3 linked regions of the Canis lupus familiaris genome follow. The protein of the gene in region 1 interacts with the protein of each later gene in a pairwise test. Links are inferred from orthologs where the notes say so. Each region holds a gene or a part of one and is shown on either strand. Other genes may lie near its edges.

Region 1 (7,852 bases):
GCTGAGGGAGTTCAGGCATAAATGAAAAGAAAAGGGGAGTATCAAAGATCAATTTTCACAATGGTCGCACTCCTCCAAATAAAAACTGATTTATTTCAGTTAACAGCCTGTTTACTGCTAAACCCAACACTGCATACCGTTTGATTGCTAATTGCACTCATTTCAGATCTGTCATTGTTCATATTTGGTTGTCAATAGCAGCTTCTATAGAAACAAATGAAACCAAGAATTGAATATTTATTCATAATGTAAAATAAAATTATTTTGCCCAGTGTTTCAGCCAAGCGTTGACAGGAAATCCAACCAGAGTTTGAAGGGAAATGAATTTTCTGACAAGTTTTAAATTTCAGCATCCCATATTTTCAGGCAAAATGGAATAAGAGGAGCTGTTCTTGGCAGGAAACCAACTCCCTCCCTTCCACTGGAAGGGCTCTGTTCCTGTTACTAGTGACTCACTAGATTACCTCAGTTAAGTCCCTTTACCACGGTGGGTCTTTGTTTCTCCACAACCCCAGATAATACCTACAAAGGATCTGAGGCTCCTAGATAAGAAGTAGTATTTAGGGAGAAGTTGGCATTTGTGTGGTGATGAAGTCTATGACATCATTTATCGCAGTTCTCCTTGTAATTAGAACCCAAGGAGAGCTTCCAGTATCTTCTCAGCACCAGCCTTGGAGAGCCTGCATATTGCTAGTCTCAAAACCCAGTCAAGGGTTATTAAAATTTGAGGCAGGCTTCAAAGCTACCCTGCAATAACTAAATATGGTACCTGCCTCTCTGTAATCTGGTTTCTCCTACCCCCTGCCCCTCCCTAACCCACTGTCTTGAGACTCATATCTTTTTCATTATGCGGTATAGGGATACAGGCTACAGACACAGTCCTACGGACTAACTCGGAGAGCTCAAGTATACTCACTGTATGTGGTTTGTGTCACGGGAACGTTAGCATGTTTCACCACAGTGAAAATGGCACATAATCCAGGAATTCTCCGAAAACACTCCATATAATCAGAATTCAATTTTCCTCTAGTAAGGAAACAGGTGTTTTCCTCCTATGTGTCCACTAGATGTTAATAAGCACACGTTTCTCTTTGCAGAGCTCTGTTCATCTTGCTAGAGACTATCACAGAAATTAAAGTGCCTTGCAAGACTTCGGGGGCACTCTATATCTCTCCAAATTTGATATTTCCTTTCCTGTATGCCCATATGGAGTCTCTCTGTTCCTCTTCCACTCTTCCTTCTGATTTACCACCGAGAAAATCCTTATTGGTTTGGCCCACGTGTTGTTAGAAAGGGAAACGTGTATGGCCAGAGCTCTGACTTAAAAGACAGAGAGGACAGTAAACTCTAGGAATGGGCAGGATTGAGGATGCTTCCTCAACAGAGAGTCAGTCCAGCAGAAGAACTGGGGAAAAGGGGAGAGAGCAAAACTGAGAGTTACAGACCACTCCTGCATCTGACTGCTATGAACTCATCACAAATCCCAGCAGGCAAGACGGTATAGTGGCTACTATGGGACACCTGAAGTGGCAGATTCGGTCATGGTCTTTCAGGCTTGTTACTCCTGCTATTGCATCCCCACTCATCAAACCAAGCAGCAGATGTAAACCTAGAGGGGCAATGGAAGCTACAGGGGAGGTTGCAGGGCCGGAGCCAGACAGGAGAGAGAGCAGGCAAATTCTTTTCCCAAAGGAGCACAAGGGGACAGTGGTCTGAGGGTGTTCTTTCATGTATACCATCTTTTATCATCTCAGCTAGCCCAGAATATTTCCTGAGGATGGAACGAAGGCCCACCTGGCTCCCAAGCTCACCTTCTGCTGCTGCCCAGCACCCACCTTTGACTTAGTGACTGCTGTGTGTTTGTGAGGCTGGGGGCCAGGGTAGAAACAATGGCCTTGAGATTTTAAGTCTTGGAGGATCTTTTCTGAGAGTAATATTTAAGACCCAACAGCGTTTACCTTGGAGTAAACAGGCCCAGTTCCAATCACGGCTCTGCCACTGACCGACGGTGTAGACTTGGGGTAAATGGCTTAAGCTTCTTACACTTTAATTTCATAGCTTCAAAGTGGAGTTGTTTTGAGGCTTAAGTGGCAGAGTGCCTTTCAAACACTTAGCCTAGAGAGCGGCATATAGTAAGGACTTAATAAACATTATTATTATCATATTCCCTATGCGTTGTTTGAGAGTTGGTAGCTAAAAACATTTGTGAATGAACAGCTTATACCAGCAGGTATAAGAAGAAATGCCAGGAGGTTTGGAGTTGTCAAAAGTCCCAGCCATTGGTTTCAAATGGCCAGCACCAGCCTTGGAAGCTTGGCCACTTCTGACTCTCCGCTCTGAGTGTCTCTTTGCCAAAAATGTGCCACCTGGTCCTCATCCAGTCCTCCATCCAGTCTCTGCAGGTCCTTACTGGAGAGGAAAGCATATTTTTCTAATTCCAAAACTGGGATACGAGGCCCAACTAGTATAAGTAAGTCTAGAAGGGGACAATGCACAGAATATTTCAATCTGGTTCTAGTTTAGCTATTCTAAGAAATGCGCCAAGGGGGACTCTTAGCCAGTCAAAGTGCCTGCCTCTCCCTCTGCAATTCAGGCACCTCCACTGTCCAAGTGGCTGACACCTATTTCCACAGGACGTCCTTTGGGTAAAGACTGCGGGTTACCACACTATTTAATAAGGGGTGGGGGTCGTGGGTGGGTAAAATGTATTATCAGCCCTTGACACCTTGGCCTGAACTAATTGTCAGGTCATGAAAAAGAGCTCCTAATAGGGCCTTAGGGGGGCCACGCAAGGACAGTAATAATGGACTAGAAATGATTTCTAAACCGAAATGTTCCTGCGTGCCGAGCCCCCTGGGCACCTGGTGTGCAGGAAGGGAGAAAGGGAAATCAGTAAAGTGCAGAACAGGGCTGATAGTTGCTCTGATTCCCAACTTCACCTAAGATAGGTTTTGCTCCTGCAAATTTCAAGGCTGTGGGGCCTCAGGAGGTCACCCCCAACAGGCCGCCGTCTGGGCGGCAGAACGCTGGGATGGGGACGCACGGAGGGTTGTGAAATCCCCACCGGGGCCCAGAGTAGGGCGCTCCCCGACGAGCTCATCACGTGCACAGCCCTAGCTTTTCCAACCCAGCCCCGAAGGCTGCGGTCCCGGACGCCCGGGTGGTTTTTAGGGTTTTCTTTCTTTATTATTTCCCTTATTGTTCTCCACGGTTGGTGATTTTCTGCAGAAAAACGGCTGAGAAAAAAGAACCTATTTCATTTCCAGTTCCCATCACCGCGATTTCCACATGGATGTGACGTTGGGCCAGCTTCCGAAATGCCCAGGTGACTCACGCGGGGACACCCGGGGGCGGGGCTCAGGAGTTTCTCGCGCGGGGGGGCGGGGCGGGGCGGGGCGGGGCGGGGCGCCGCCGGCCTCCTGCGCCGCCCGCGCCCCCTGCGCCCCCTGCGCCCCCTGGCGGCCGGCGACCGCGGGGCTCGGCGCCGGCCCGGGCGTCACGTGACTGGAAAGTCCCCGGGTGGAAATCCCCGTTCTCCGCCGGCGGTAAAACAGAAAGGGAAAAAGAGAACTGGCAGTCTGCAGTCCTCGCAGCGGGCCGGTGCAGCGCGCTCGGAGCCCGCGGGGGCGGAGCGGTGACAGCAGCCGCCGGGACAAGTGCGGCGGCGGCGGCGGCGGCGGCGGCGGCGGGCGCGAGCCACACAGCCCCGCGGCGAGCGAGCGCCGAGCCCCGGCGTCCATGGGGCGCCTCCTCCGCGCGGCCCGGACCTGACCCGGACTTGGGACTCTGGAAGAGGATCGCGCGGCCGGACAGGTAACCGCCGCGTGCCCGTGCCTCTGCCAGCGGCGTCGCGGGGCCCGGGCTGCGCGGGTGCGTCACCGGCAGCTCCTCGCGGGCGGGAGCTTGTCGGCCCGGGCCCGGCCCGGAGCTCGTCGGCCGTCGGCGCTCACTGCGGGATGTGAAGTGCTGGGAGTCGAGGCGGCCGCGCACGACGCTGGGGTGACAGCTCGGGAGCCCTCCGGCCAGCTGTTCCTTGTAGATGCTGCCAGGAACGTAAGCTGCAGCAGGCGGCTGGAGAGGAGCCCCCGGACGGCCAGGTCGCGTGGTCCTCGGTGCTTTGCCCCTTTGCGTGCCTTTTTTATTTTTCGATCAAGCTCTGGATGCTCGCGGACACGGAGACCTTGCAGAGCCGACCCGCCGTGGCTTCTTCCCGGCGGGTGCAGAGCCAGGCCACCCGCCGGGCGGGGGGGGCGTGGGGGCCCGGGCCAGCCAGCCTGCCCTGGGTCGGCTTGCAGACCCCGCAGCCCAGTGCAGGGAGGCGGGTGGGCGGAGGGCCGGTGCTGAGCTGCTGCAGGCGCCGCAGTGCGCGAGGAGTGTGCATGCTCAAGCGGGACGTTGGCCGGCTTTTCGGGTGCTCCAGTGGACGGCGACCTGGAGGCCCCTGCCCCAGCCCCTACCCCACAGTCAGACGGTCGTTGTCAGCCCGGGTCGTCCCACATCCTGCCACCTGGCCTCTCAGGAAAGCAGTGGTATTAAGTAAGGAAGGAGCTCAGCGCTTTTGAGACCGCTTTGTTTTCAGTTCTCCCCGCCTCTGATCTTCTTTCCTTGGAAAGCTGGTCTGGTCAAGTGTCTCAGGGCAGCCTTTGGGGAGGACCGTGGTTCATCAGTCCCCTGGACCTTAGCACTAGTGTCTGCAGTTGTTACGCAGCCGGTTATAGCTCCATTCCCATCGTCTAAGGTGCTTCTTTGTTTTTTGTTTTTTTTTTTTCTCTTTTTAACAATTCTGTGTACAAGTTTTGGAGTTTAGGAGTGAGAGTTACCAAAAATTCGATGAGGCATTTATTGATTTAAAAAAAAAAAAAAAAAGTCAGTGAGGTGACAAATGTAAAAGAAATGGTAAGGGTGATAGCATATGTCTTTACCTGTAAGGACGTTACAGTTATAGGTCAGGAAAATTTATTCTTTCATCTTAAACGTGGAGAAGTCCGAGAACTGGGAACTTGGCTGGTGGGTTCTAATTCTTTTCAGGAGGCGATCGATTCCACAGTGTGTGCAAGGCTAAAACTATGAATGAGATGACCCAGGGCTATACAGTACTGACATTTGCATGTCTTACATATGGCAAAGAGCGCTTGTGCTATTTGAGGTCTTTGCTGAAAGATCTTTAAATTAGAAGAGATTAAGAGAAGATTCGGAAAACTCAAAAGGCAACACCTAGCTTGTTTCAAATCTTTTTGCTTCCGGCCTCTTCCCGTCTGGCAGCAGCAGGCACAGGGATGGTGTTGTGGGAACTGCAAGGGGCAGGTGTTGGAAGATCTGGCTTCCAGGCAAAGCTGTCTGCCTTGGGTGGTGTGGAACCTGAGCAGGACCCGTGCTTGTGTTGCCATGGCTGTGGACAGGGAATAAGGGCACCTGTGATTTTTAGTCCCAGCATCCAGCATGGCTCTCAGCAGGTGAGCAGGCAGTGCTTTTTAAGCAATGGACAGATGAATGAGTGATTGTGAGACTGGCCATGCCACAAAGTGGAAATGGGTGTAATGTTTTTATTGCTTCATTATGCTTGTGCCCTGCAATAATTTTGCCCAGTTCCACCTTCAGGGAACTGAAGGAAAGATTACCAACTGGCCCAGAGAATAACTTCTCCCAGGCCTCATTGACAATCAGATTTGGAATCCTGGTCCAAAACTATCACCAGAAAACTCCTCAGAAGCAACCTTGGGTCATCTACTTTAACCTCTCTATTTTGGACCACAAGTTTTAAATCACTTCATCAATGGCTTTAAGAGAGCCTAGACCCACCTAGGAATGGCTTCCCTAAAATCTAGGTTTCTTCTCACTCTTACACAGGTTTCAAGTCTTCCTCAACTAGAAGCTTGCCCTGGCAAATAGTATGGTGCAGGAGTGAGATTAGCAATCTCCATGAAACTTCCTAGGGAATGTCTTCATGCTCCAAAACCATCTTTGCCTTCATCTTGGAAACCAAGATGTATGTTGGGGCACCCTGCTAAGGCTTGTGGCTTTCCACACAGCTCCACACTGCAGAGATCCCACGTTGCATCAATTCACAACATCCTACGCTATTGGCATGGGTTGTAGATGCTGGGTTTTGCACCACCCCCCTCCCCCCGCTTCCTTCATTTATCATGAGCATCCCCCTGGCTGAAACATCTTTCCTTGCCCATTTCCAGACTTTTATTTCCTTCTACCAGCAGATTATGTTTCAGGATTCCAGGGTGAAGACAGGGTGGGAAATGCATTTGAGTGTTGGTACCTGGACAATGATAATAAATGTAGTTAAGTTGAAATAATTGAAATCTAATGCCTGCTCTCGGAAGTGTAAAATTTATTCTTGTATTATTATTATTATTATTATTATAATTCTATGTCCTATTCTGATGTTGTGAAGTTCAGTGGAGAGGTTCTGAAAGACTTTATCATTGACCGTTAAAATTGCAAAGCTTCTTACTGGAAATAGGCTTTTTCATTGGTTCTAAGATATTCAGTTTTAACTTTTATAAATATTATAATACATTTTTATAAATAAGCTCTTGATAAATATTTCTCTTCGGGGCTAAAGAGGAAACTCTAATCAGCAGCCTACGTGACAACATAAAATTGTGAGATTTTCCACAAAACATTTATTCTGCAGTGTAGGGTGGGAGGGCTTAAAAGAGATAAATTAAGGCTTTGCCTAAAAGCCAGGGCTGCTCAGCAGTGGTCTTAAGGGAGAAGCTAAGGACTTGTCAGGGCCACCTTGTGCCCGTCACTGGCATTCAGAGCTCCGAAGACCCAGTGGCTGTGTCAGAGTGGCATGCGAATGAGAGGGGAGCTTGTTGGTTATGAGGTGCAGTACCTGTTGCCGACGGATGGGCTTGGCTCCCTGACAGACGTTACTGAAAACACGGGTTATTCCCCTCCTCCTCAATACCCACTCCCCGCCTTCCTTCTCTTGTTTAGACTAATCTTTAAAAGTGATGTAACTTAAAACAGTCCAGTGTGAGTTAATCTCGGGGGCCAGCTAGTATCCTGGAGTAGAGGTGACTAAGATCTTTTGCCTACAGATGAGGCTAATGACAAGATCAAACACTGGGGTTTCCTGCAGGCAGGTATATAGGAGTGGTATCGAAGTCGGGCTAACGGAATGGGTTTTTCTTCCCTCCTCTTCAGGTGTTGCAGAGCACGATGGCTGAACAGCTCCTTCCCCAGGCTTTGTATTTGAGCAACATGCGGAAAGCTGTAAAGATACGAGAGAGAACTCCAGAAGACATATTTAAGCCAACCAATGGGATCATTCATCATTTTAAATCCATGCACCGATACACACTAGAAATGTTTAGAACTTGCCAGTTTTGTCCACAATTTCGGGAGATCATCCACAAAGCCCTCATTGACAGAAGCATCCAGGCCTCCCTGGAAAGCCAGAAGAAGCTCAACTGGTGTCGGGAAGTCAGGAAGCTGGTGGCACTGAAAACGAATGGTAAGAAGCTTTTGTCTAGGGGTTGGCTCCCACAGTACTGGATCCCCATTCATCAAAGTCTAATAGCACTGGTCCAAACTCAAGCCTTTTGAGAGCATAACCACCTTAGTATAGAATACTCAATAAAAAGCATGTGATAAAAGCAAGCTTGTATACAGGTGTTTTTATTAAGGATATTTTGTAGTTGTGCATATTAGAGAGCAGAACCACTCAGGCTTGAGGAATGCATCTCTAAACACGGTGCCTCCCATTAGGGGACTTAGGTATCTTAATTTTTGTGGCTATTTGTGTAATCATTTGTAAAATACCCTTTCCTGGCCAGTCATGGAAACCTTAAAAGACTTTAAGTTCAAAAGGAAAGCATGGTGTGAAAAT
Region 2 (7,545 bases), on another chromosome or scaffold:
CCAGGCTGCAGGCGGCGCTAAACCGCTGCGCCACAGGGGCTGCCCTAGACCTCACTTTTTTTCCCTCTCATAACAACAAAGTCTTCAAGTTGCCCCAAATGAAGTCATTGATAATAAATTTCAGCATATAGGTAGGTTTCCTAACCGAGTCCAAAGCTGCAGGAGCCATAATGCAGGCTCTTTCAAATCCTAATTACTGTTGGAAAAAAAAAAATGAGAGGTTGTATTTCTTCTCCCCCAAATCATTAGAGAACCTTTCAAAGGGATTCGCCTATTGCTAGAATGATGATGGGTGGGAACTCCTGTCATGATGTCACAGTATTCATTGACCACTGATTCTGAAAAGTCAGAAGTAATTAATCGCATAATGATTCTTTTTACCTATTGTCAGTGTCCACTAACAGATGTGACAACTTAAATTCATAAATGACTGTGATCCTTACCATCCATAATTTTAATATGAACCTAAACACAGAGAGCATATTCTTAAAAGCATTAATAATACTTTTATTTTTTCCTTTCCTTTTCCTTACATTGTAAAATATGGCACTGAGAATTCTTCTTCTTTTTTTAAAGAACTTATTCAACATTGTATTCCAAGGATGATAAGGTTCGGAGAGCTTCTTAGTATTTTACATATATAAGAAACTTAAATGACTATATAAATTGGTACACTTGGCATCTAATAATTAGTAAAATTAAAATCTGTGACAATTATTTTTTTCAGTAATTTTTTTATTTTTTAAAGTAACCTCTACATCCAATGTGAGGCTTGGACTCACTACCCCAAGATGGAGAGTCACATGCTCCACCAACTGAGCAAGGCAGGTGCCCCACAACTTGTGAAAATTCTTGAGTAGCAAGGGGGAACAATGATACCGAGGAGCTTTAATAAAACTGAAACTATCAGTGAACTTCACAGCACTTGTCCTCTTAGGCTGCTAAAATACTCTTTCCCAGGTGATCTTCTGTTTCAGGAAATAAAGAATAATAGAAAACTAAAAATACCCAATGGCACTTAGCTTCCACATCACTGCAATGTAACTTGGCGTTTAATAGCTTTCAGTTTGCGTAAATTGATACCCAGCAGCTAAGAGAACTGTTTCAGATTCCCCGTCATAGTAGTTAATGGGAAAATGTTCTCTGAAAATGCAGCCTCCTCCATTAGGAGGCAACATGGAGTCTTGGAAAGGTAAAGGCCTTGGGCTAAAATATTGCCTCCAATCGCTTTCTAGCTCTGTGATCCTGAAAGTCTCTTAAATTTCTGATAGATATTAAGTAAAATCTATTCCACATACTTCACATGAGATTAAGAAGAAGAAGAAAAAAAGACAGTTTCTTTCCCTTCTTCTATATAAGAACCCATTTCAGTCTAGCTCATTTTCTCAGGCTGAGCTTCCAGATCCTATTGCTATATTATTTAATACAGTTGTTTTCTGGGATCCCTGGGTGGCTCAGAGGTTGAGCATCTGCCTTTGGTTCAGGGTGTGATCCTAGGGACCCGGGATCGAGTCCCGCATCAGGCTCCCTGCATGGAGCCTGCTTCTCCCTCTGCCTGTGTCTCTGCCTCTCTCTGTCTCATGAATAAATAAATACTTAAAAGGAACTTTAATATCGCTTTCTAATCCTACAGCCAGAGATAAACCTATTATCCTCAGCTAGGAGTATCTGATTTTGTTAGGGATGGCACTGGTGAGCTTCTGGAACGTCTGATGCTCACATCACTGAAGGTCAGTGCAACTTAACTGAATTCAAGTAATCTATTGAGCCTTTTCCCAGCTCAGTCCAAGAACTTATTGGTGACCACACAGTAGAGGAAGGGAGGGAGAGAGGGAGGGAGGGAGGAAGGAAGGGAGGGAGGAAGGAAGGAAAGAAAGGAAAAGAAAGAAAAAGAAAAAACACGTTTGTGGAAGCAGAAGAGAAAATAAAGCTGAAGCTATCTTAAACAAAAGGTTTTCAGAAAACAGTAAGAATTCCAGAAAAACGCCGCCCTGTGGGTTTTCCCCTAAATCATCAAATTCACTACAAGTTTTCTTGCCATGCACAGAAAACGGAGGTTGACATGAACTGTCCCATCCCCACGACACCCCCTGCAGCCTGGCAGGTGCAGCAGTACCACCTCCGGTGATTTACCAGGTTATCCGTTCCTCTCTAGGGAGAGGCCGTCAGACCTGAGAGCCCCAAGGAGAAGAACCCCCTCCTTCCGCTCGTCGCCCCAGGGCAGGGCAGGGCAGGGCAGGGCAACGTCGAAGGAAAAGACGAGGCCTGAGTCCCCGGGACCGGGTCTTTGTGGCAACGACTTCGAGAACCAGCGAGAGAAGAGGACAAAACAGACTAGAGGGAGTCAGGTGCGTAAAAGTCTACCTTTCAGGGCCAGCAGGTGCTCCTGTTTGGGGGGATTCACTTCCATCCTGACCGGCGCTACCGACCCCCGGCCTACGGCAGCCGCACAGGTTCAGCGCAGCCCGGAAGCGAACGGAAGAGCCGACGTTCGCGAAGCTCCACCTCGCTCCCCACGGGGTTCTCCGCGCTGCTGCCGCCTTCAAGTCTCTTCTTTATCACGTCCTTCACGGACGGACTCAGCGGCTTCCTTTCACCGAAGCCATCCCTCGCTCCTTAGACACCTGTCCATTACATCCCTGTCTATTTCCCAGCGGCAGTCACGCATCACAATTTCAAGAAACCACTTCTCGGTGACAGCGCGCAGCGTCCCAAAGACTTGCATCGCACAGTGAGGGGGGGGGGGGGGGGGGGCGCGGAGGATTTTGCATGCTGGGATTTGTAGTTTATAAGCAGAGCCGCATTGCATGCAGGGAGATGTAGTCCACTCCCCATCCCGCGTCTCGCCTGCCATTAGGCGGAGGTGGTGATCGAAGCGGGGGCTTCCCCTCGAAACTTGCTTCTTGCTTTATCCCTTCTTTTTTTTAAATTTCCTTTATTCGTATTCCTTCCGCCAGTTGCAGATGCAGACCGCATCTTGAATAAGAATACAAACAGCAAAGCGTTCAAATACACGAGGCGGCGCCGCCGAAGAGGTAGGGACTGGCGGAAGGAGGGGGGCAAAGGTCAGCCCCGCGGCGCTCCGCGCTTCCTACTGCGCCTGTGCGCCGGCGGCGAGCGCGGAGGCCTCTGGGTAGGCGGCTGGGCCCCGCCCCTCCGTTGGAGGCCGTGACGGCTGCTCCTGCGGCGCCGCTCCGCGTAGGATGGCTACCCTGATTGTAAACAAGCCTGGAGCGGGACTGGACGCTGGCCGGCAGGGCGGCCGCGGGACGGCCGTGGTGAAGGTGAGGGGCCTTGCGTGCTGTGTTCCCCACCTGCGGCCTCCCCTGGGTTCGTCCCTGAGGTCTGGCGGCCGCGCTCCGCCGTCTTCGCTGGGCCTCTGCGCCCCTCCTGGCGTCACTAGCCCTCCCCTCCCCTCCCCCGTCCGTTCTCCTCCCCTCCGACAGATCCAGGGGTGACTGCCTTTTTAGCTCTGGTTTTCATTATTGCCCTCCTCCTATCACCAGACGTGTGGTGTTGGTTAGTCGGGCCCCTCCTCGCTCGTGAGTACGGACTGTCCACACGTTTGGGACGCGTCCCAGCAGCAGCGTGGCTGGGCATTGGGATATGGGGATTGCCCTGTGCTTCAGGTTCCAAATTCTAGTGTGCTTACATGCTTCAAGATTCATTGATTAAGAAGTCAGTTGGGAGCATCCCAGGGGGCTCAGCGGTATAGCGCCGCGTTCGGCCCAGGGCGTGATCCTGGAGACCCGGGGTTGGGGTCGAGTCCCATGCCGGGCTCCCTGCACGGAGCCTGCTTCTCCCTCTGCCTGTGTCTCTGCCTCGCTCTCTGTGTCTCTCATGAATAAGTAAATAATAAAATCTAAAAAAAAAAAAAAAGAAAGAAAGATCAATTGAAATACGTGGGATTCATCCTTGCCCTCCACTCTAGACCTATGGGAAAGAAGATGTGCAAGGGAGAACTGATCTCAGTGTCTTGTGATAACTTTCAGGATTGTTGTAATCTGAGTTATTGGTAATTGTCATTACTGGCTACATAGTAGAATGAGGACTTTTTTTTTCTTTTTTTTAAGATTTTATTTATTTATTCATGAGAAACAGAGGCAGAGACACAAGCAGAGGGAGAAGCAGGCTCCATTCAGGGAGCCGAATGTGGGACTCTATCCCAGGTCTCCAGGATCGTGACCTGGGCCGAAGGCAGGTGCTAAGCCGCTGAGCCCCCAATAACTGAGAACTTAAACAAACAAACAAACCCTGCTGATACACACCTCCTCCCCCAGTTCTGATTAACTTGACATCAGCATTTTTTTTTTTTTAAACATCCCAGAAGCGGGGATCCCTGGGTGGCTCAGCGGTTTAGCGCCTGCCTTTGGCCCAGGGCACGATCCTGTAGTCCCGGGATCCAGTCCCACGTTGGGCTCCCGGCATGGAGCCTGCTTCTCCCTCCTCCTGTGTCTCTGCCTCTCTCTCTCTTTCTATGTCTATCATAAATAAATAAATAAATAAATAAATAAATAAATTTTAAAAATAAAATCAATCCCCAGAAGCGATTTTAATGTGATTTTAATGGTTGAGAACCAATATTCCAGATAATATCTGAAGTTATTTTAAGATCTTGGTAAGACCCATCTGTGATTCTTCACCTATTATTAGTCTCGTATGACAACAAATGCTACAACATTTCGGCTCACAGGTATGCTATCACTTGTTGATGGCTTTTAATTCGTCTGGCCTTTGTGTATTAATAAAGGTACCCTGAAGGTACACAGCTTTATCTGAGATACAGAGGGGCACTGTTGTTAGGCACGTTGTATGATCGGAGTCTTATTTATTAAATTGTGCTTTATCTAAAAGAGGATCCCTGGAGATTATTTTGTGAATTATACTGAATTAAGTTGTAATTACAATGGATATTATTGGTGTATCTATTATTGTTACTCTAGTTGCCTTAAAATCTCTCTCTCTCTCTCTCTCTATATATATATATATATATGAAAGCCTCATATGACTCAAATTTGTTACAGCACAAAGTTTGATATGTTAGAGGTTCACTTTGTGTGTTTTTTGTCTTCACACATAGAATGTGCCTGAGCTGTGCAGGAGGGTAGTCCTTTTTGTCAAGATCCTTATGCCGTAATTTGTAAGGGGTATGATGGCATAAATTTTTAAAAATCCGACTAATTGTCATTTTTGTAGATGAAAGCAGAAATTATTCATTGGAAGGTAAAAGTTGAAGTCTATAATGTGAAAATGTGAAATAATGTGTTTAGTGAACGAGTTGATAATGACAGGGTTTTTTCAAATTAGAGAAGTCAAAGGCAAAATTTGACATTATGAAATTACTTACATTCTAAAAGAAAAAAATATCAGGAAAGTTTTTTTGTTTTCGAATTTTTCTTAATTTATTTGAGAGAAAGAGCGAGCGTGAGTGTGGGGAAGGGGTAAATGGAGAGGGAGAAGCAGACTCCCTGCTGAGCAGGGGCCTGGATTTGGGGCTCCATCCCAGGACTCCGAGATCAGGACCTGAGCTGAAAGCAGGCGCCCAACCTGCTCAGCCACCCAGGTGCCCCAGGAAAGTTTCATTTGCAGAGTGAGTCTTCTTAGTCTGGTTAGGGTACCTGGCTGGCTCAGCTGCAGGAGTGTGCTACTCTTGATTTTTGAGTCATGAGTTCGAGCCCCATGTTGGGGGTAGAGATTATTAAAAAAATAAGAACTTAAAAAAATATGGTCTGACTTATTAAAATTTGATTTACATGTGATATTAGTTTGAAGCTCCATTTGACATATTTGTGAAGTTGATAAAATTAAGAGCTTTTTTCTTATTTAGGATTTAATTCCTTGTGCTGTTAACCACAGTTCCTATTCATAAACACTGAAGGAAGAATATCTCACTCTCTTGTTTATTGAGTTGATGTGAAATAGTCTAGTAAGTTTATTTTTGGACTCGTGTTTGGTTTGTAAATCTGTGGTATATTACCAGTGCTTTTTGAAAAAACCTGTGGTAGCAACTCAAGTTCTTTCATCTTGTGCAATTATGGGGTCAGAGATAAAAGATATCAATGCACTAAAATTTATTTTGATTCTTTGGAGATTATGGTCATAAATTTATTGTATTACAAAAATAAGAACATATATAAAAATGTTGTATTTATTTTATATCTAATTCTATTGTATCTTTTCTGTATCTGAATGAATTTGATATTTAAGCGAGGATATTATTTATTTATTTTTATTGGAGCAATTTGCCAACATATAGCATATCACCCAGTGCTCATCCTGCCAAGTGCCCCCCTCAGTGCCCATCACCCAGTCATCCCCACCCCCCGCCTGCCTCCCCTTCCACTACCCCTTGTTCGCTTCCCAGAGTTAGGAGTCTCTCATGTTCTGTCTCCCTCTCTGATATTTCCCACTCATTTCTCTCTTTTCCCCTTTAATCTCTTTCACTATTTTTTATATTCCCTAAATGAAGGAGACCTATAATGTTTGTCCTCCAATTGACTTATTTCTTTTTTTTTTTATTTTTTTTATTTTTTTTTTCAATTGACTTATTTCACTCAGCATAATACCCTCCAGTTCCATCCACGTTGAAGCAAATGTTGGGTATTTGTTGTTTCTAATGGCTGAGTAATATCCCATTTTATATACACATCTTTATCCATTCATTCATCTTTTGATGGGCACCGAGGCTCCTTCCACAGTTTGGCTATTGTGGACATTGCTGCTATAAACATCGGGGTGCTGGTGTCCTGGCGTTTCACCGCATCTGCATCTTTGGGGTAAATCCCCAGCAGTGCAATTGCTGGGTCATAGGGCAGCTCTATTTTTAACTCTCTGAGGAACCTCCACACAGTTTTCCAGAGTGGCTGCACCAGTTCACATTCCCACCAACAGGGCAGAGGGTTCCTCTTTTTCCACATCCTCTCCAACACCTGTTGTTTCCTGTCATGTTAATTTTGACCATTCTCACTGGTGTGAGGTGGTATCTCATTGTGGTTTTGATTTGTATTTCCCTGATGGCAAGTGATGCAGAGCATTTTCTTATGTTAAGCGAGGATATTTAAATGAAACTTCTGTCCTGCCTTTTTAAAAAATGTAAGATACATTTAAGTGTCTGTGTATAATACAATTTATGTGTAACTCTTCCCATCTGTTTTCCTCCTCATAGGGAGCCATTTACTATTCCAGTGTAATCCGTTTCCTGTGTATACTGCTAGAAAGATAGTGTGCCTGTATAAAAATACATATATAAATATATGCTCTTTTTTCCCCAGCTTTATGCAAAAGCTAAATATTCTATGTATTTTTCACTTTTCTTTATTCATATGAAACAATTCTGTGTGTATACATAAGAAACTACCTCTTTCTCAACAGACTGCGTGGTTTTGCAGTATATGAATATACTATAATTTATTTTCCAGTCTATACTGATACCTATTTATTTTGTTTCCCATCATTTGCAAATGCAAATGGCGCTGTGAGGAATGATCTAGAGATCTTGTCACACCCTTGTGATATATTTGTCAGATATATTTCTGTAAATACAAC
Region 3 (7,754 bases), on another chromosome or scaffold:
AATTAACCTCTTTAATTCTCATTTGTAGGGCAGCCCCAGTGGCGCAGCAGTTTAGCGCCGCCTGCAGCCCAGGGCGTGATCCTGAAGACCCTGGATCGAATCCCACATCAGGCTCTCTATATGATGCCTGCTTCTCCCTCTGCCTGTGTCTCTGCCTCTCTCTCTGTCTCTATGAATAAATAAATAAAATCTTTAAAAAAAAATAAAATAAATAAATCTCATTTGTAAAACGAAGTTAACTATCCCGAGTTAGCCCATCCAGAGTTATGAAAATTGAGAATGTACACATGGAGTAACAGCAACCATTTACTGAATGGCTATTCGGAAAATGATTAAGTTCCATAAACTCGATGAAACACATTTGGGGTGTCTCCTCCCAAACCATTTCTGAAAATGTGGCACTGCATCTACCACTAATATGAAATTCCAGGCAAGGCTCTGAACTATTCACCATCTGAAGTCCTTTTAATTCAGGCTACTGCAAGAATCCAGAACCTTTTCTTCCTCAGCCAGTATATGGCAAAGCAATACTTACATTACAAATGACCACTTGGTGGGAAATAGTACTCCCTAGTTTATATGTATTTCTAACTACAGCACTGATGTGGCTTTAAGATTTCACACTAACCACAATTTTGGTACACCTCAAAATCATCCTTAGTTCTAATATCTGCAACACGGGTTATGTCTCACTCTGAGCAACTCAGCCGAGCTCTCCTTTTATACACCACCTGCTCATTCCCCCACTTCCCATAAACTCACAGCTGTTGGAATAAGAGTTTTTGCCACTGGTTAGGCCAAGTGCCTCTTCCTCTCAGGCTGTTTCTTTAAGCTGCAGCTTTGTTCCTGCACTCAAGGTTTCTATAGATAATTCTTCAAGCCTTCAGATGTATTTCTCTGTCCTTTGCCAACTTTTTTTTGTTTTTTCTTTGCCAACTTTTGTAATCAACTGTGTATCAATGTTAAAATACACCATGCTTTCGTAACTAATTCTGATGTTTTATAAACTCAAAATTACAATCTATATAAAATAGATGACTTAAGGCAATAAGAGATGTGAATGAATTACGTCTACCCACGAGTATTCATTCACCAGTAATCTGGTTATTTACACTCTTTCCTTAAATCACTTAGTCTAATGCACGGACACTTTCATCCCCCTTTACAGGTTTATTCCAGTTTATTTCACTTTCTCACAAGATGGTATAGTATCCGTTTTTCAGAGGTTACGATTTGGGTAAGGTCATTCCAAGCCCAGCCTAGAGAGGACCTAAGTTCTTACAATCTTTCACAATGCTTCTTTCCACTATTACACTCTTTGTAAGCTGCTAGGTAGGAGATGAAGAGATCCTGAAGACCCTCCTTTACTTCACTTCAGAAGGATTTCTTGCCTCTTCAAAGGATGGGGTAAGGCAGGGAACTTCGGTTCTCAAGTGACTTGAGGCAACACCATTGTTTCCAATACGCATGATTTTTCTTAAAGCTTACCGACACCATCCTCCAGGTGATGCTGATATGAACATCAATGATTACAGGCAGGCATTATTATTAGGTGACCATTTAAATTATAAAGAGAACAGAAAACAAATTAGAAGAATAAAGACAGAAAAATGACTTGATAGTAACCCCAACATTACTAGTTTTACCCTGCAAAGGACTGGAAGCCAAGAGATGTTAAGTTTCGAGGTTACAGAGTGGTGACATCAGAACATCTCCTCACTCGGGCGTGCTGCTCCATCTACCCTAGAGCAGTCTACTTACCTTCCCTTCCACTACCCTGAAGAAAGCCCACATAAACCCAAAGGGTTACTGGAGTTTCCCTTTTTCCAAAGCTCTACTTTAAGCCTACTATATTAATAAAATGGGGACTGAGTCTCCCCAAGGACATTAAGAATGTACAAATATCAACTTAATAGGTAAAGCCTAAGAAACAGTCTTCCACTAAAGCTTGCAAAGTCCTTTCCAATGAATATATTCCATTAATTTAGATGACAAAAGAATTTCTGACTTTTTAAAAGGAATTACATTGAGGGAATGATTGATCACAATTCTCAGATGACATCATTGGAGCTTGGATTGATTTTTCAATGCTGGATGGCTTATCCAACCCATCAATCATTTCAGATAGATATTACAGATTCTCAACACACAGAAGGGTCTATTAGTTTGCAAAATGCTACCTTTGGGCCTCAGGGAAAATCTGTGAACCTAAGTTTCTAGCTACAGGATAGCATGATTCAAGCCTGCTTATGAAGACCAGAAAGCCAATTTTTTTTCTCTCTAAACTGTATTTTATTCTAGTTACATCTCTCAACCCTTTCCCTACTTCCCATTTCAAGGTGCCTTAGGTTTCCCAGAGCTCCAGAATGTTCTTCCTAGACACTCAACTCACCTTTATTTAAGCCCCATTCACTGGGTGAACAAGGGCCTCACTAAAACGTCTAGAGAGGCCTCAGCCTGCACAATCCTATTACCACTTTGTTACTGGGGAAAAAGACACTCATTCAAGTGTGGCTTGCTGTGTGAACGGAAGTGGCTCTTATCCCAAAGGAAATTAAGCTCAGAACCTTCAGAGAAAATACATTTACAGTTGTTTCTGTAAAATTTGCAAAATTAATATATTTTTACATTTACGTCCTTAAAGAAGGTCCCCTGAATTATAAAGACTTCATTCAGATCCCAGATCTAGAGTGTCCCTGGTTTAGACTATCTAACCCGTGACACCATGCCAGTGCTCGGATCAGGATCACCGATGAATCAACAAATGAGTGGCAGTAGTGGTTTCCAAACACACCTAGTGCCATGTGTAACAAGGACACCACAGGAAAGATACCTCTTCAAGTGTCTTCCTTAGCGGGTTAATCCTAAATACTGACCTCCTCAACATATTTCAAATGATATTAATATCAAAAGCCTTAAAAGCAGCTTTTGAAAAAGCAGCTTTTCAAAAGATTCTGAAATTTTAGCAAGCCTCTCAATTTGTAGATGAATGAGAAATGTCACAAGGCCAGCAAGAGGACAAGCGAGCCTTAAGTCGAGTAATTGTCAAGCTTCAGCCTGCTAAAGATGGCCATAAGCGCTGGTTAGGGTGTAGATTTCGGAGTCCTACCCCTAGAGTTGCAGAATCTTTAGGTCTAAGGTGGGGCCCAGGCGGATCCTCCCAGGTCTCCGGAGGATGAGGTACACTGGTTGAACATAGCAGGTTGGTGGCCGTCAGTTGTAGCTCTACCACTGTGTGACCTTGACGCGGAGAAGTAATGTTCATTTAGAGAAAACGTAAAATAAAGTTAGAAGACAGAGGGGCAGTAAGAGGATAACGGGGACTCATCTATGCAGGTGCCTGATCACGGTATGTGCTAGGGTGTGGCTGGGCACGACTCCTTCGCCGGAAATCAAGCTGCAGAATCAATCTAGGGAGGGGGGAGGGGGGACGAGGGAGGCGGGTGGGTCTCGGGAAGGCAAAGGCACAGACAGCCCTGTCTTGCCAAGAAGTCACGTCCCATTTGATCTCCGGACAGATGCCCGCTGCCTCGAAAACCTGGGAGTGGGGTCCCACACCCGCCGCGCTCCTCCGCCCTCCGCCCTCGCGCTGGCGTGCACGTCTAGACTGCAGGGGGGCGGGGTGGGGTGGGGTGGGGTTGGGGGGGGGTCTTCGCACACAAAGCCGGAGCCAGGCGTGGGAAGACGGAACGCGAACGATGCGGGCGGGCGGGGCGTATTACGGATCGGAATCTCGCCGACTGAGGTCGCGGCAGGCGGGGAGCCGCTCACGGGGTGATTCCGTACTGCAAGTTGGGGTTACGGAGGCAGGCGAAAGGGAGGGGAGCCCCGGCCGGGGCGGAACGGTCTAGGACGAGGAGTGCGGGCACCCCTCCCCCCACCCCGGCTCCGAGCTGGGACGCGGCGACCCCGCCCGCCAGGGGCCACTGTGGCCCAACCGTGCCCGAGGGGCCGTGTCCCCCCCGACCCCACCCCGGCCCGGCCGCAGGAAATGGCGGGGCGGCGCGGCGCGGCGCGGCGCGGGAAGCGCGGGCTCCGGGCGGGCGGCCGCGCCCAGCGAGGTCGCGGGATCGGCCCGGGCCCGGAGGGAGCTGCCGCCCAGCCGCCCATCCCTCCCCTACGCCGCCCGGCGCGCTCACCGCCTTCATGGCGGAGGCCATGTCGTCGTAGCGCTCCGCCTGCTCGGCCAGCCGCGCCCGCTGCAGCAGCTGCTCTCGGTCGCCCATGTCGCTCGTGGCTCGGCCTCGCCTCGCGCCCGCACCGCTCGCCCGCTCGCCCGCTCGCCGGTCCGTGCGTCCGCTCCCCGGTCGCCGCGGAGGCCGCCGCCGCGCACGCGCACTGGCTCGCCGGCCGGCCGAGGCTGCAGGCTGCAGGCAGCGCCGCCGCTCGCGCCCTCTCGCTGGCTCGCCCCGCACGCTGTGGCTCGCGCCGCCGCCGCCGCCGAGGGAGGACAGGCGGCCGCGCGGGGGGGGATGGGAGGGCGGAGGACGCCTGCGCAGTGGGAGCCGCCGGGCCGGGCGGCGGGGAGCGGCGGGAGTGGGAGGGGGGAAGGGCGGGCCGGCCCTAACGGTCTATTTCAAGGTGACGTCACCTACTATAAATAGCCGCCGCCGCCACCTCCGCCGCCGCCCCCCCCCCCCCGGGGCCGGGAGCTGCGCAGGCGCTCTGCGAGTGCTGCATTTTACCGCCGCAGAGGTGGAGGTGGGAGAAGGGAGTGGGGTGGGGACTGCGGAGCCCGGGCCCGGGCCCGGGAGGGGGCGCGGTGACGGCGGCTGCGTAGGTAGCTCAGTGCCATGGCTCCTCCTCGCAGGGCGTCTCTGAGGCCAGGTTGGAGGTCTGCCTTGAGAAGGACCCAAAAAAGCAGATAACCGTACGGTTTGAGAAGCCAGGAGGCCGTGTGCCCCAGGGGGCGGGCCGGGACCGCCCCGCCGCCTTGCAGGCCTAGATCCCGTGGGGACGCGCCCTGCACCGGGAGCATCTGTGCTGCCCAGGGCACCGTCGGGTCTGGACTCTGCGGACAGCACCCCGCCCGCCTCTCACACCCACCGGGCTGCAGCCCTGGGCCTCCACCAGAGGAGGGACGGGGGGGGGGGGGGGGGGGGGCTGGGAGGAGTAATGTCCACGACCTACCTACCCAGCCCAGTGGTAGGCCCGTATCGGCATAAACATAATCCTCTCAACCCACACCCCTCAGGTGGGCACAGCTGGTCTCCCCATTTTCAAGCCAGATTAATGACTTGCTCAAGGTTAAAACAGCCTGTATGTGGTGAAGCCAGGATCTGAGTTCAAACCCAGTCTGAACTTCCTTCTGTGGCAAAGAGGGGGTTGGATGGGCTGACTGGTCTCTAAGCCCTCCCAGTTGTGGCATTTTTTTTTTTTTTTAAGATTTTATTTTTATTCGTGAGAGACACAGAGGCAGAGACATAGAGGGAGAAGCAGGCCCCCTGCAGGGAGGGAGCTCCATGCGGAACTCAGCCCTGGAACCTCAGGATCACGCCCTGAGCCAAAGGCAAGGCTCAACCACGGAGCCACCCAGGCGCCCCACTTGTGGCATTCTTTGCTGAGGGCCGCTCATGCCAGGCCCCGAGGCTGGGCCTCGGACAAACTAGGAAAATCTCAATGACTGAAACATAGCCTCACTCAAGTACAAGGGTATCCCAAGGGTAGCACAGGAGAAGGGACCTTAGTCTCTTTGAGAATTTTATTGCGTGCTCAGCACTGGGGGAAGGAGTAGCTACAGAATAAGGATACATCCTCTTGTCTCATAAGCTATATCTAAATACGTAAGTGCAGGTAAGCTGAACCTTGTGGGAGATGAGACGGAAAAGGTATAAGGGAGTGGGGTCCAGCACAGGCAAAGGCTTGGCAGTGAGGACAGAAAATCTGAGAGGTGGGCAGTGGGAAATGAGGTTGGGCAAAATGAAATAATGGAGTGTTTTAAGTGCCAGTCTGAAGATTTGACTCATTATCCCTGGATCCCTGGGAACCAGAAGAGGTGTGGAAGTCGTATTTTGAGCCAAGAATCTTGCTCTGAAGAGTAAGATGCATTTGCAGGGAGAAGACAGGAACTGGACCTTAGTTTTACTATCTAGCAATTAAACCTGAAAGACTGTTAAATGCACCGTAGAAGAGAAATCCTAAAATGTCCAAGGTGCCAGGACATTTAGAGTCACTGTCATCTGACCCTTTATCCCATGAGAAACTGAGGCAGGAAACTAGGGGCAGAAGAGGTGAACCTCAGTTTGCACAGTGAGTTAGAGCTGGGGTCCCCATACTAGGTCTCCTGCCTCTGAGCCACCTTCCCCTCACTGTGATGCTATAATGAGGACCTCAGTACCCATGAAACAGGATTTGAGTGTGCATCTGGGAGAAGGTTCCCACTGCAGGTTGCACCGTGCTTTGTTTTTTTTTTTTTAAGATTTTATCTATTTATGAGAGACACACAGAGAGAGAGGGGCAGAGACATAGGCAGAGAGAGAAGCAGGCCCCTCACAAGGAGCCCGACATGGGACACGATCCCTGGGATCACGCCCTGAGCCAAAGGCAGATGCTCAACCACTGAGCCACCCAGGGATCCCTCACCGTGCTTTAAAGAGTCACCTTTGCTAACTACAAATGGAATTGAGGTTAACAAACTAGGCTGATCTTTCCCCTGGTGGATATCTTTAAAGAACATGATAAATGATAATTAATTGTCCACCCCACCCTCCATGAAAATGGGGTTCCAGTGAGAGGTGGGAGGAGGGTCAGTGCTGACGGGAGGATTTCGGTGGTTCATTCCAGCTCTTAGAGAGGTTACAGCCCTTCTAGCTTTTCTGGTCATGTTGGGCTCAGATTGATTTCAAAACAGTGAAAATTAGGTAGACTAGGGCATTCTAATTCTGTCAAATGGGGGACGCTTTGGTTCTCCCATGAAGCTTTTCTTTCCTTTTTACCAAAGTTCGCTGCCTCCACTTCCTCACCTCCCACCATCCCTCAAGCTCAGTATATTCTGGGTCTGTTCCTACTCTATTCCCTCTCACTGTGGCCACCAGTGGCCTCCTATTGTCACTCCAAGGTCATTTAATAGTTCTCACCTTCGTGGCCCCTTTGAATACACTGGGCACAACTGCTCCCCCTTCTTAGGCTCTCCTCCAAGCTTTCATGACCCTGTATTCTTCTGGGTTCCCTCTGCTGCTCTGTTGTTCCTCTTCTCTGGTCTCCTATGTGGGCTTGTATTCTCGGCCTGCCCTAAAATACTGGGGTTCTGCAGGGCTCTGCCCCAGGCCCTCTGCTTTTCTTACTCCATCCTCTCCTGGGTGACTTCATCCACGCCCACTCTTGAAAGAACATATGCCATATTCTGGGCAAGGAGCTTTGCAGAAATGGGTATATTTTTTTTCCCCTCAAGATTCCCCTGTAAGGTAGGTACAGATTCCTCTGTATGGTAGGTACAGATTCCATTCCCATCTTACAGATGAGGAAACTGGTTTAAAAATGTTCCATGATTTGAGTAGTCATACAGCTGCTCTGTGATTTTATTTTATTTATTTTTTTTTTTAATTTTTATTTATTTATGATAGTCACACACACAGAGAGAGAGAGAGAGAGAGAGAGAGAGAGGCAGAGACATAGGCAGAGGGAGAAGCAGGCTCCATGCACCGGGAGCCCGACGTGGGATTCGATCCTGGGTCTCCAGGATCGCGCCCTGGGCCAAAGGCAGGCGCCAAACCGCTGCGCCACCCAGGGATCCCATGCTCTGTGATTTTAGCTGA

The links.
Region 2: the proteins of TNFAIP3 (region 1) and TRIM23 interact in binary tests that used the Homo sapiens proteins (3 or more experiments, as listed by UniProt). The two-hybrid records come from large-scale screens. The link is inferred for Canis lupus familiaris from reciprocal best matches to the Homo sapiens genes TNFAIP3 and TRIM23.
Region 3: the proteins of TNFAIP3 (region 1) and YWHAH interact in a two-hybrid assay, tested with the Homo sapiens proteins (2 studies listed by BioGRID). The link is inferred for Canis lupus familiaris from reciprocal best matches to the Homo sapiens genes TNFAIP3 and YWHAH.

What each region holds. Positions count from the first base shown.
Region 1 is NC_049222.1:30,480,896-30,488,747, forward strand, and holds the start of TNFAIP3 (tumor necrosis factor alpha-induced protein 3), read left to right. Parts: upstream 1-3,677; 5' UTR 3,678-3,813; intron 3,814-4,774; exon of another isoform or gene 4,775-7,167; 5' UTR 7,168-7,182; coding exon 7,183-7,477; intron 7,478-7,852. UniProt on the Homo sapiens protein: Ubiquitin-editing enzyme that contains both ubiquitin ligase and deubiquitinase activities.
Region 2 is NC_049223.1:50,588,393-50,595,937, reverse strand, and holds the start of TRIM23 (E3 ubiquitin-protein ligase TRIM23), read left to right. Parts: upstream 1-3,127; 5' UTR 3,128-3,203; coding exon 3,204-3,284; intron 3,285-7,545. Other genes in the region: TRAPPC13 (trafficking protein particle complex subunit 13), read right to left, coding at 2,365-2,410.
Region 3 is NC_049247.1:25,191,827-25,199,580, reverse strand, and holds the start of YWHAH (14-3-3 protein eta), read right to left. Parts: upstream 4,419-7,754; 5' UTR 4,227-4,418; coding exon 4,140-4,226; intron 1-4,139. UniProt on the Homo sapiens protein: Adapter protein implicated in the regulation of a large spectrum of both general and specialized signaling pathways. Binds to a large number of partners, usually by recognition of a phosphoserine or phosphothreonine motif.